Linked DNA regions of Saccharomyces cerevisiae S288C. The protein of the gene in region 1 binds, or shares a complex with, the protein of each later gene. Each region holds a gene or a part of one and is shown in the gene's direction. Other genes may lie near its edges. The genes, in order: MRPL4, MRPL10, MRPL36 and MRPL23.

Evidence for each region.
Region 2: MRPL4 (region 1) and MRPL10 share a complex: the UniProt entries of both Saccharomyces cerevisiae proteins name them as parts of the mitochondrial large ribosomal subunit.
Region 3: MRPL4 (region 1) and MRPL36 share a complex: the UniProt entries of both Saccharomyces cerevisiae proteins name them as parts of the mitochondrial large ribosomal subunit.
Region 4: MRPL4 (region 1) and MRPL23 share a complex: the UniProt entries of both Saccharomyces cerevisiae proteins name them as parts of the mitochondrial large ribosomal subunit.

What each region holds. Positions count from the first base shown.
Region 1 is NC_001144.5:1,012,492-1,015,950, forward strand, and holds MRPL4 (mitochondrial 54S ribosomal protein uL29m MRPL4), read left to right. Parts: upstream 1-1,999; coding exon 2,000-2,959; downstream 2,960-3,459. Other genes in the region: CAR2 (ornithine-oxo-acid transaminase), read left to right, coding at 10-1,284; U4/U6-U5 snRNP complex subunit LSM3, read right to left, coding at 1,418-1,687; SEC39 (Sec39p), read right to left, coding at 3,077-3,459. UniProt on the Saccharomyces cerevisiae protein: Component of the mitochondrial ribosome (mitoribosome), a dedicated translation machinery responsible for the synthesis of mitochondrial genome-encoded proteins, including at least some of the essential transmembrane subunits of the mitochondrial respiratory chain.
Region 2 is NC_001146.8:102,633-105,688, reverse strand, and holds MRPL10 (mitochondrial 54S ribosomal protein uL15m MRPL10), read left to right. Parts: upstream 1-1,586; coding exon 1,587-2,555; downstream 2,556-3,056. Other genes in the region: WSC2 (Wsc2p), read left to right, coding at 1-505. UniProt on the Saccharomyces cerevisiae protein: Component of the mitochondrial ribosome (mitoribosome), a dedicated translation machinery responsible for the synthesis of mitochondrial genome-encoded proteins, including at least some of the essential transmembrane subunits of the mitochondrial respiratory chain.
Region 3 is NC_001134.8:483,443-486,077, reverse strand, and holds MRPL36 (mitochondrial 54S ribosomal protein bL31m MRPL36), read left to right. Parts: upstream 1-1,574; coding exon 1,575-2,108; downstream 2,109-2,635. Other genes in the region: transcription factor TFIIIC subunit TFC1, read left to right, coding at 1-1,336. UniProt on the Saccharomyces cerevisiae protein: Component of the mitochondrial ribosome (mitoribosome), a dedicated translation machinery responsible for the synthesis of mitochondrial genome-encoded proteins, including at least some of the essential transmembrane subunits of the mitochondrial respiratory chain.
Region 4 is NC_001147.6:610,188-613,004, forward strand, and holds MRPL23 (mitochondrial 54S ribosomal protein uL13m MRPL23), read left to right. Parts: upstream 1-1,811; coding exon 1,812-2,303; downstream 2,304-2,817. Other genes in the region: SMP3 (glycosylphosphatidylinositol-alpha 1,2 mannosyltransferase), read right to left, coding at 1-1,201; DNA-directed RNA polymerase II core subunit RPB2, read right to left, coding at 2,810-2,817. UniProt on the Saccharomyces cerevisiae protein: Component of the mitochondrial ribosome (mitoribosome), a dedicated translation machinery responsible for the synthesis of mitochondrial genome-encoded proteins, including at least some of the essential transmembrane subunits of the mitochondrial respiratory chain.

The sequences.
Region 1 (3,459 bases):
ACAACACCAATGTCCGAAGCTACCCTCTCCTCCAAGCAAACCATTGAATGGGAAAACAAATACTCCGCCCACAACTACCACCCCTTGCCCGTCGTTTTTCACAAGGCTAAGGGCGCACATGTGTGGGACCCGGAGGGTAAGCTGTACCTCGACTTCCTGAGCGCTTATTCTGCCGTCAACCAGGGCCATTGCCATCCTCACATCATCAAGGCTTTGACGGAGCAAGCACAAACACTAACATTGTCCTCCAGAGCGTTCCACAACGATGTTTACGCGCAATTCGCCAAGTTCGTGACCGAATTCTTCGGGTTCGAAACCGTTTTGCCCATGAACACCGGTGCAGAAGCCGTGGAAACTGCTTTGAAGTTGGCCAGAAGATGGGGGTACATGAAGAAGAACATCCCTCAAGATAAAGCCATCATTCTGGGTGCCGAGGGTAACTTCCACGGGAGAACCTTCGGTGCTATCAGTTTGAGTACCGACTACGAGGACTCCAAGTTGCATTTCGGGCCTTTCGTGCCTAACGTTGCCAGTGGTCACTCCGTGCACAAGATCAGATACGGCCACGCAGAAGATTTCGTCCCTATCTTGGAATCTCCTGAAGGTAAGAACGTTGCCGCCATCATTCTAGAGCCAATTCAGGGTGAAGCCGGTATCGTCGTGCCCCCCGCAGACTACTTCCCAAAGGTCTCCGCATTATGCCGTAAGCACAACGTCCTATTGATCGTTGACGAAATTCAAACCGGTATCGGTAGAACCGGTGAGTTGCTTTGCTACGACCACTACAAGGCAGAGGCCAAGCCTGATATTGTTTTGTTAGGTAAGGCTCTCTCAGGTGGTGTTCTTCCCGTCTCATGTGTTCTGTCTTCTCACGACATCATGTCTTGCTTTACCCCAGGATCTCACGGTTCTACTTTCGGCGGTAATCCTTTGGCTTCCCGCGTTGCCATCGCCGCCCTCGAGGTCATCCGCGACGAGAAGCTGTGCCAAAGAGCCGCCCAACTGGGTAGCTCTTTCATCGCCCAATTGAAAGCTCTCCAAGCCAAATCTAACGGTATAATCTCTGAGGTGCGTGGTATGGGACTGCTTACCGCCATCGTAATCGACCCATCCAAGGCCAATGGTAAGACCGCTTGGGACTTGTGTCTATTGATGAAGGATCACGGCCTCTTGGCTAAGCCCACCCACGACCACATCATCAGATTGGCTCCTCCTTTGGTCATCTCCGAAGAGGACTTGCAAACCGGTGTCGAAACCATTGCCAAGTGTATCGATCTGTTATAATATTAATACGCATTTTTTTTATGTTTTCTCGTTTCTTTTCTTTTTTTTGTTTTATATCTTACACATTTTTAATATACTAAAAGTAAAATAAAAAAATACGTACTGTTTCCCTTTGTTTTCTCCTCCTCTTTGCTTATATCTCCACTGCGCCATCGTCATCTTCAGAGGGCGTGCTGATTAGAGTCACTGTGTCTCCTCTGATGAACACCATTTCACATCGTCTTTCGGACTCACTCAACTCCTCGTTGTTTAATTGGTATATGGTCTCTACTGCATCACTCAGCACGATGTTGCAGTGTGAGTCGAACGCTTGCAGTGTGCCCACCAGCGTCCTGGCCCCGCGCAGCTTGATGTACACCCTCTCATCGAGATTGAGTTTCAATAAATCCAAAGGTGTCTCCATTTTCTTGAGTGTGCGTGATGTTGTGTGTGTGTGTGTATTTATCTGCGTGTCTCTCCCCTGTTGTATTGGTTGCTAGAATGGATGGAAACATCCTGCCTCTTGTTTGTTCAAACCTCAGCTTTCTTGCTTTTTTTCTTCTTTCAATATCGCGACCTATCACACAGCACGGATAGCCAAAAGGGCGCATCAGGAAGAAGAAAAAATATCATTTCAGCAAACTAAAAGAATTGCCCTGAAAGCTATCGAGCCCTGGTAAGAGAGTACCATTCTATCTCTGCGGCTAGAAAAAAATACCATAAAAATATAATAAAAATGTGGAAGAGATCGTTCCACTCCCAAGGAGGGCCCCTGCGTGCCAGAACAAAGTTTACCAAACCAAAGCCAAAACAACCGGTGCTTCCCAAAGACAAAATAAGACCGCCCACTCAATTGACTCATCACTCCAACAACCTGAGGATTACCGAACCAATCCCACCAACAACCTCAAACCTGCGCTGTCCCGACGACCACCCGCTGTGGCAGTTCTTCTCCAACAAGAAATTCATCAGGTCCGCCGACGACTTGCCGCCTTCCAGCCATATCAGACCCTGGAGCATCCCAGAGTTGAGGCACAAGTCCTTTAACGACTTGCATTCCCTTTGGTACAACTGCCTCAGGGAGCAAAATGTGCTTGCTCGCGAAAACCATCTCTTGAAAAACATTGTTGGCTCCACGCATGACGAATTCAGTGAGCTCTCTAACTCTATCAGAACCACCATGTGGCAAATAAGACATGTACTTAACGAAAGAGAGCTGGCCTATAGCGCTTCACGCGAATTTTTACAGGATGAATCGGAGAGGAAAAAGTTCTTGGATACTTTGGCCAACGATTACTTCTTGAACAAGGATATCCCTGATGACGAAGTCGCCTCCATGCTCACACGATTCCAGTTGGCCATTTTCGGCATATCGGAAACCATCCAGGATAATACAGTCGACATTAACTTCATCGACGGGATCAAGTTCTTGGCAAACTTAAAACTACAGCGGTTCAAGGACTCCAATGACCTCATATCCGAAATATCACAAGAACCGATCACAGACGTGGGCGAGTCGTTCATCTTATTCACTTCCGACTTCGAACCTCATGCCGTTCAAGAGGCTTGTGTCGCCATCAAAGACCTGAGAAAGTCCCCAGATAATAAAGTCCCTAAATTAGACGAACTCCCCACCGTGAGAAAATACTTGAAACAGCTAATTCATGCAAGCTCCGTGGAGCAAGCAACTGCATGATTCCCGTGGGCTTCCTACCCTCTCTCCTGTAAATATATATATATATATATATCCACACACACTCGCACATACATACACACATACATACACCTTTATATAGCTATACGCTGTATGTATTCAGAAATTAGTCACGTTGTGGAAAATCTCCCTAGCAATGCCGCCTACCTTACTCTTATTGTCGTTCTGTCCGTCCAGTGCGTACTTGTCTTTCACCAGGTCACGGGCGCTTAGCTCCAATTCTAGTGTGCTCCATTGCGATGTAACAATTTCGACTTCCTCAAGGGGGCAAACCTCCAGTAAGCGGCCCAAGATGCTCATCTGCAGAACAATTATCTCTGTGGGAATTTCATTATCCACCCAATTTGGATCGACAAACTTCCCCATTTGATAAAATGTTAACCAATGCTCATCGCCCAACGCCTTCATCATATGTTGGCCCGCTTCTTGACAAATTTCAAACACTTGCTTGCCCAATTCGTATGCTGTGCCAAAATCTAAAT
Region 2 (3,056 bases), on another chromosome or scaffold:
CTTGTTGGCTCTGGCGTTATTCTTTTTCGTATGGAAAAAACGTCGCCAATCTTCTCAGCATGTGGACTTGGAAGAGACAAAGCAGTACCAGCCGTACTCACTGGGTGATGCTGACGCTAACCCTGTTATTCCACCGTCTGCTTCGAGCACTAACTGGCACATACCCTCTAGGAATAATACAGCATTGTCCAAGAATACAGCGTCTACTTTTGCCACTTATGATCTGCCGACAAGGGCGCCGGGCGGCAGAGATTCTATTATTACTGGTGATGCACATAATATCAGCAAAAGAAGTCACTTTCCCTCGGTAGTGTACGAGGAGCCTCCTTCGATCTATAACGGGAACCAAAGGTTCAGTGCTACTTCGCTGCCCGATATGATGGAAGAAAGACAACTACACATTGTCAACCCCGATAATGTGAGTTCAAATATTGGGAGTAATGTCTCAGATGGTGATGATGATTACGATGATGCAAAGGATTCCAATAATAGTTCTTTGCGCTGACTAGGTTTAGATACCAACACTACATATTCATATCAAAGACTTATTCATCCTTTCATATTTCTTTCCTTCATTTTCCCTTTGTATGTATAATATTATTAAAGCCGACGATTATTGCACGAAAGAAAAAAAATATAGATAAAGTGAACAGTACCGACCATATCAATATTGATTTATCATGTTAAAAAGTTAAGTATATGTATAGTTTATCAAAATGAATGTACACATTTTCTATTCTTCACAAATCTGAGGCAATGGGGTCTGTCTCAAATCACCATCAGGCATGTTTACCGTAGAATAAAAATAATATGCTTCCAATCGGATTTGAACCGATGATCTCCACATTACTAGTGTGGCGCCTTACCAACTTGGCCATAGAAGCTCAGAACTTGAGAAAACCGGATATACAAGTGCTACTTAACAAAATGAGTATGGAAATCCTAATCTTCTTACTTTAGTTAGTATAAGAATCTGTGTATATTTGGTGAATAATTTGATGATTGTTGGGATTCCATTGTTAATAAATACTATACTAGAAGTTCTCCTCGAGGACATATGATGTCGTTAGGACGTGATAAAAACCATTTCGTCCTTGGGAGATCACGGATGCATCGAGAAGTTTCCTAGCCAGTCATTGGGTTATTGTGCCGAAATTAACTTTAATCAATCAGAAGAGAGAAACCAAATGGCGTCCCCCAATTATTCACACTTCTGCAAAACAACTTAATTACTTTTCGTTTTTCACAAAACAAACGCAGCTCATATTTTGGGTAGGGCATTCCAAGTATCCATTTTATTGTGCGTTCATTGGTCTCGGTGAACGTAGGACAATATGAGTTCCGATTATACCAAATACCGTAGCAAACTCCTGATTGCAATTAAACAGTATATTTTGCGTATTCTGCGTCGCAAGCAATGTTAGATAAGGTACCTTTATGTACTATACAAAGCTACTATTCACAGCTACTATCTTTATATCCGTTTTTCTATTTGGCAATCGTATAGTTTTCTTACCCGGCTGAAACTCCAGGTAACTGCACTAAACGCAGTGCGTAAAATTAAAGCTCATGACCTTTAGAAGTTGATGAAAGCGGAAAGGCAAACAGGATTAAGAAATAGTTTTACAACCGTAATCGGTCGCAAACTAATAAACACTTTTGTTCCGTCCATGATGTTAACTAGCGTAGCTGGTAACGATATTTTTTTCCGAGGTTTATTCAAATCGCCGGTATTAGCATTTCAAAGTTATCGTTATGTTTCGATTTTGGGACAATTGAAACCGTCAGATGGTTCTACAAAGTCTTTCAAAAGACTTGGGCGTGGTCCTTCCAGCGGTTTAGGTAAGACATCAGGGCGTGGTCAAAAGGGTCAAAAGGCGCGTGGTAAAGTAAAATCGTGGTTTGAAGGTGGTCAAACTCCAATTTACAAGCTATTTCCTAAAATTGGATTTACCAACGTTGGCGCCAAACCATTAAAGGAATTAAACTTGAAACGCATTCAATGGTTTCATGATAAAAATAGGCTTCATTTGCAACCAGGCGAGGTTTTAGACATGAATAAGATGAGAAAGCTTGGTCTGGTAACTGGTCCCATAAAGTACGGAGTTAAAATTCTAGCCAGCGGAAAGTTCCACTACAATCTACCGATTGCTTTGGAGGCTTCTAGAGCATCCGCTAAGGCTATTGCGGCTATTGAAAAAGCAGGAGGTAAGTTTACAGCTCGTTACTACACACCGTTGGGTCTAAGGGCACATCTCAACCCCCAGTGGTTTCTTGAGAAGAGGGGAAGAGTACCACTACAGGCTAGACCCACGAAAAGAAGGGATATTGATTTCTATAGTAAAGAAGAGAAAAGAGGTTACCTAGTAATGGAAAAAGATAAACTCTTACAAGATATCAAAGAAGCTCAAAATAAGGGTTCTAGACACTTTTTAAAACAGAATGTAAAAAAGAGCTCATTAGAAATAGAGCTAGAAGAACTGTCTCCAGAGAAGGATTGGGTGCCAGTTGTGTCTAATTCTAAAGTCATGAACATCAAGGCTTTGGACCACTAAAAAATTGTTAACCGTTTTATATATAAGTAATATTCTCACTTGTACATACCTTAAGATATTGTCTTGTTAATGATTCATTTGGTGTCCGAAATTATTCTATTTTTCAGTCAATTTATGACCAACTATCGAATAAGGTCCTGATTTTCAGAAATTTTTAACTTTTATTTTCTTTTTTGTGAATATACTTTAAGCAAACTCAAACATATTAAAAGATTGCATCTTGCTTTTTCGGGAGAAGTAAAGCAGTTAAAGGAAAAGAGAAAAACTACATTCTTCTTTTAAGCATTATTATAACAGGGTGAAATGGTTATTTAGTAAATAAGCACAAATACAAAAAAAATAAACGACCCCAGTGAGGGTTGAACTCACGATCTTGCGATTAACAGTCGCACGCCTTAACCAACTTGGCCATGGAGTCTTATAATATATGATTTGTTGTATCTCAAAATGAGGTACGTCAGTATGACGATTCCTTATCCTAAACGTTCCTAAAACACATAT
Region 3 (2,635 bases), on another chromosome or scaffold:
TCAGGAAAACATCGGGAATTTGATCTTAGACCGTAGCGTTAAAATTCCGAGTACAGATTTCCAACTGCCGCCACCTCCTAAGTTATCAATGGTTGGTTTCCCCCTGCTTTATAAATATAAAGCTAATCCATTTGCGAAAAAAAAAAAAAACGGTGTCACAGAAGTGAAGGGAACATATATCAAAAACTATCAGTTGTTTGTTCATGATCTTAGTGATAAGACAGTTATACCGTCCCAAGCTCATGAACAAGTCCTGTACGATTTTGAGGTCGCGAAGAAAACAAAAGTCTATCCAGGCACTAAAAGTGACTCTAAATTTTATGAATCGCTGGAGGAATGCTTGAAAATTTTGAGAGAGCTCTTCGCTAGACGTCCAATTTGGGTTAAAAGACATCTTGATGGGATTGTCCCGAAGAAGATACACCATACTATGAAGATAGCGCTGGCACTCATATCTTATCGTTTCACAATGGGGCCTTGGAGAAATACATATATCAAATTTGGTATAGACCCCAGAAGTTCAGTGGAATACGCCCAATATCAAACAGAATATTTTAAGATTGAAAGGAAATTACTATCTTCTCCCATAGTGAAAAAGAATGTACCAAAGCCACCACCCCTGGTATTCGAATCAGACACTCCAGGCGGTATTGACAGCAGGTTCAAATTTGATGGAAAAAGAATACCGTGGTACCTGATGTTGCAGATTGATTTATTAATTGGTGAGCCAAACATTGCAGAAGTTTTTCACAACGTCGAATATTTAGATAAGGCGAATGAACTAACTGGATGGTTCAAAGAATTAGACTTGGTCAAGATAAGAAGGATAGTAAAATACGAACTTGGTTGCATGGTTCAAGGAAATTATGAGTATAATAAATACAAGTTGAAGTATTTCAAGACAATGTTATTTGTTAAAGAATCCATGGTACCCGAAAACAAGAACTCAGAAGAGGGAATGGGTGTTAACACCAATAAAGATGCTGATGGGGACATAAATATGGATGCAGGTAGTCAAATGTCCTCAAATGCCATAGAGGAGGATAAGGGTATCGCTGCTGGTGATGATTTTGATGATAATGGCGCCATAACTGAAGAGCCAGACGACGCTGCTTTGGAAAATGAAGAGATGGACACTGATCAGAACTTGAAGGTGCCTGCAAGTATAGACGATGACGTGGATGACGTTGATGCAGATGAAGAAGAACAAGAAAGTTTTGATGTTAAAACAGCGAGCTTCCAAGATATCATAAATAAAATAGCTAAACTAGATCCTAAAACCGCGGAAACAATGAAAAGCGAGCTCAAGGGATTTGTTGATGAAGTCGATCTGTAATAAGTAGGTTTTCTTTTATTTCAATATCAAAATATGCCAAATGTGCAATAAAACCATAACTACGTATGTGATATTTCTGAGTTTTGTCCCCAAACCGTAAAGAGCGATTATCTCGTGCAAAATGCATCAAAATCAAATAACTAAAATGAAAGGGTATCATTATTATTCCTAAAAGTTAAGAATGCCTCCAGAAAGAACGGGTACCAACGCAAACGAACACACGTTTTGTTCACTCCTAATGTTGAAGTCTATATTTGCGAAGCGATTTGCTTCCACAGGGTCATATCCTGGTTCTACAAGAATTACTTTGCCAAGAAGGCCTGCAAAAAAAATTCAACTGGGGAAGTCACGACCGGCTATTTATCACCAATTCAATGTCAAAATGGAGTTGAGTGATGGAAGTGTAGTTATCCGGAGATCCCAATATCCAAAGGGTGAAATTAGATTAATTCAAGACCAGAGAAATAATCCGCTGTGGAATCCTAGCAGGGATGACCTAGTCGTTGTGGATGCTAATTCTGGTGGTAGCTTGGACAGATTTAACAAGAGGTATAGCTCTTTGTTTTCTGTCGATTCAACGACCCCAAATTCAAGCTCTGAAACAGTTGAACTATCTGAAGAAAATAAAAAGAAAACACAGATTAAAAAGGAGGAGAAGGAAGACGTTTCTGAAAAAGCGTTCGGTATGGATGACTATCTATCTCTGTTAGACGATAGTGAACAACAGATCAAATCAGGTAAGTTGGCCAGTAAGAAGAGAGACAAGAAGTGAATAGTGTTTGCTCCCCTTACTTTTCTATTCTCGAACCAATTTATATTCCTTTTGGGACATAGATCTCAATCGCATCTGTTTGAAGACTACATAAACAGCCTTGTATATACCGCAACATATACACATACGTCTACATATGTATATATTGACAACGAAGATTCTGCGAACGCTTGGTTTGGCGCTATCGCGATAGATTAAGTGCAACAAGACACACATTTACAAACATAATATGAACCAGATATGATTCATGGATTATCGAGGCAAATGGTCTGTGAATGAAGCTCACTTACGCTGCAATAAGCAGCAACGGCATTGTAGTGATCATTTTCTACGCCTCGTAATATTTCAGCGCAGTGGAAAAAAATTGAAAATTTTTACTCTTCTCGAGTGTTGAATCACTGCTGCGATACTTATCACGTACTTTGTATACATAATTTTACTTGCAATTAGGACTCGAAATCTGTTCAATTACTTTTGAGGATTTCTTTTATTTTAGTTTCCCTTTTTGCATTCGTGTTGATTTTCAA
Region 4 (2,817 bases), on another chromosome or scaffold:
TCATATACATCCAGGTGGGTGGTGAGTATGTTTTCCACCATATGTGAACGCCCATTTGTTCGGTACGAAAGTGGAAGTAATCTCCCAAAAATTGGATAATTCCTGCTTGATGTGAAATTCCCATGATGAACGCCATGATTATGTTAAAAAGAAGCCAAGTTCCCTTGAAAATTTTCTTGTTTACTAACGTGGAACTCAGAGGTGTCCAGTTTAAGTTTGTCACGAGTAGTGGCACTAGCGGTACAAGGAATCTTAATTCTTGATGTTGAAAGAATGAAAGAAAAAGCAGGCCAGATATGATTGCGTAAGTAGATAATTTATCGAGTTTGTAACCGGAAAAAATCGCTAGCAGCAATACTGGGCCAACTATTTGAGGTAAATTGACCAGCAGATGGGTGTATCTTGGATGTAATCCATGTACTTGCAAATTTTGGACATTGAGGTTGTATTTCAGGTTATTCAAGGGCGTAATGACAAATCCCTTTCCGTTGTTATAAATATTTGTATCAATAAGAACAAATAGACACGAGGAAAATGAAAATGAAAGTAAAAGTAAAGAAAAGGATTTCCAATGGACCCGGTAAAACTTCCAGAATAATATCAAACATGGTAAGAAAATAAATGCAGGAAAAGTAACTCTATTAAAAACACCAAAACTAAATATAAGTCCCAATATAACCGAATTTTTGAAATTACTTCTTTGAATATTTTTTTCGTTTACCATATCTTCCATTACAGTTAAAGTTGAGATTAAAGCCAGCGTTTCTATGGAATTGGAAAACGTGTGTGTTTGGTACGTCCAGGTTACGTAAGAAGTTAAAAGTAGACTTTTTTTGATGAATTGTACGGCCTTTCTCTCATCCCTTATTAATTTAGGTATTAAAAAATGATAGCACAATAGGTACATCACATAGTTTTGTAGTCTCATCGAATACAGAATTAACGCTGGGTTGTCCTGAATTTCGGGAAAAGATTCTAAAATAGTGAACAAAGGCCCGTAAACCAATAATAGGGGGCCGTAACTCCTAGCAGCAAATTTTGATTTAAATTCCCATGGGATGGTACCTTTGACCTTCATGAACTGCATAGCCAAAATCTCGATGCATTGGAAATGTTCATCTGGATGAATATACGACGGGCCTAGGCATAGCATTAGGCCGATGGCATATACTAAATAAAGCCACCATTGATACCTCATCATACACTTCCAAGTACCTGATGTGTGCTTGCGAGTAAGAATACTATGATATCTTATCGGACATATAGATTTTCAGGCCTTTTGTATTGTGTTTTCATCTTTATATTACTTCAGATTGTGCGCATCTCGCGAAATCCTCAGAGCTTCAGATTTGAACTTGTTGCCGACATAGTAAGTCCTCTCAGCACCTTACTGTAGAAGCACCTTTATAAGTTATATTAAATCAATACATCTTCTATGAGATACATAGATCGATAAGTTGACTTTTTTTCACTATATTAGTGACTGGTTTTACTTCTTACAAACATTACAGTCCGCACATAAAAAGCTATTACGATGTCTATATAATGTTTTGCTCTATATTGCACGTACCAAACACGCTACTAGTAAGACATGAGTTCCATCTAGCGAAGAATCACCGCACGCTATGGTTACTTAGACGGTTATGGTTTAGTTAATTATCGTTATAATGTTGATTGTTACCCGCATGGAGCCTTCCTTGTAGTTTAGAGATCTTTAAAACGTTCTAAATAAGTAAAAGAGAAAGACCTTATGAATACACTGATATCATATAGAAAAAGAAAGCAATACCAGCATCAACAATAGCCTATTCATGTCGCAGAAGATTGGACACAGTGGCTTGGCTTTTGCGCGCCTTTGGCACCATGTCGACGTTGCCCGTGATAAGAGGACATTGGGTAGATTGGCTTCAGCAATTGCAATTACCTTAATTGGTAGACATAAGCCGGTCTATCATCCGTCACAAGACTGTGGAGACTACGTAGTAGTGACTAATTGCCAAAAAATCCGTGTAACAGGTAAGAAATTTGAGCAGAAGACTTACTGGTCTCATTCAGGTAGACCTGGTCAGCTAAAGTTACAGACAATGAACAAGGTTGTTGCCGATAAAGGATTTGGAGAAATTTTGAAAAAAGCAGTTAGCGGTATGTTGCCTAAAAATAAATTGAGAAAGCAACGGTTAGACCGCTTAAAAGTTTTCGATGGAAGTGAAAACCCTTATAAACAAAATATTACTGCCTTTGCCCATGAGCAATCATCAATACCAGAGCCTCTTAAAGAATCAATTTTTAACCAATTGAAATAGCTTATTGAAATTATTTGTCATTTTTTTATATATCCTTTTTGCAGTCTTCAATCCATGTATATATTTATCTGTTATGTAGTTTTAATCAAAACGCGTATTAAAATCTTCTTTCTTTTATGAATACTAAATATATTTAACAGTGTGTAACAGCAACATTGTTCCAAAATGAACACCGTATATTTTTCTTATAACTTTTTACATAAGTCATTATTTATGACTTGGATATTTAAGGTTTTCCGCTAAAGTTCATTAATATGTCTTGATAAAATTAAATTTTAATTTGGTAAAATGCGAAACAAGGACTATAAATAAACACTGTGAGTCCCATTTTATTCATCATTATTTTTGTGTTTTTTGAATGCTTGAAAGTTCTCTCTGCTTATTAAAAGAAATGCTTCATTCTTATTTTATTACTATTGCCTACTTGTTTACCCTTTTTTTGGCAAGATCAGCACAAATGAAATGTTTTTTATTATTTTACTTTCTTAGAGTTACAACATTATTTCTTAAAAAT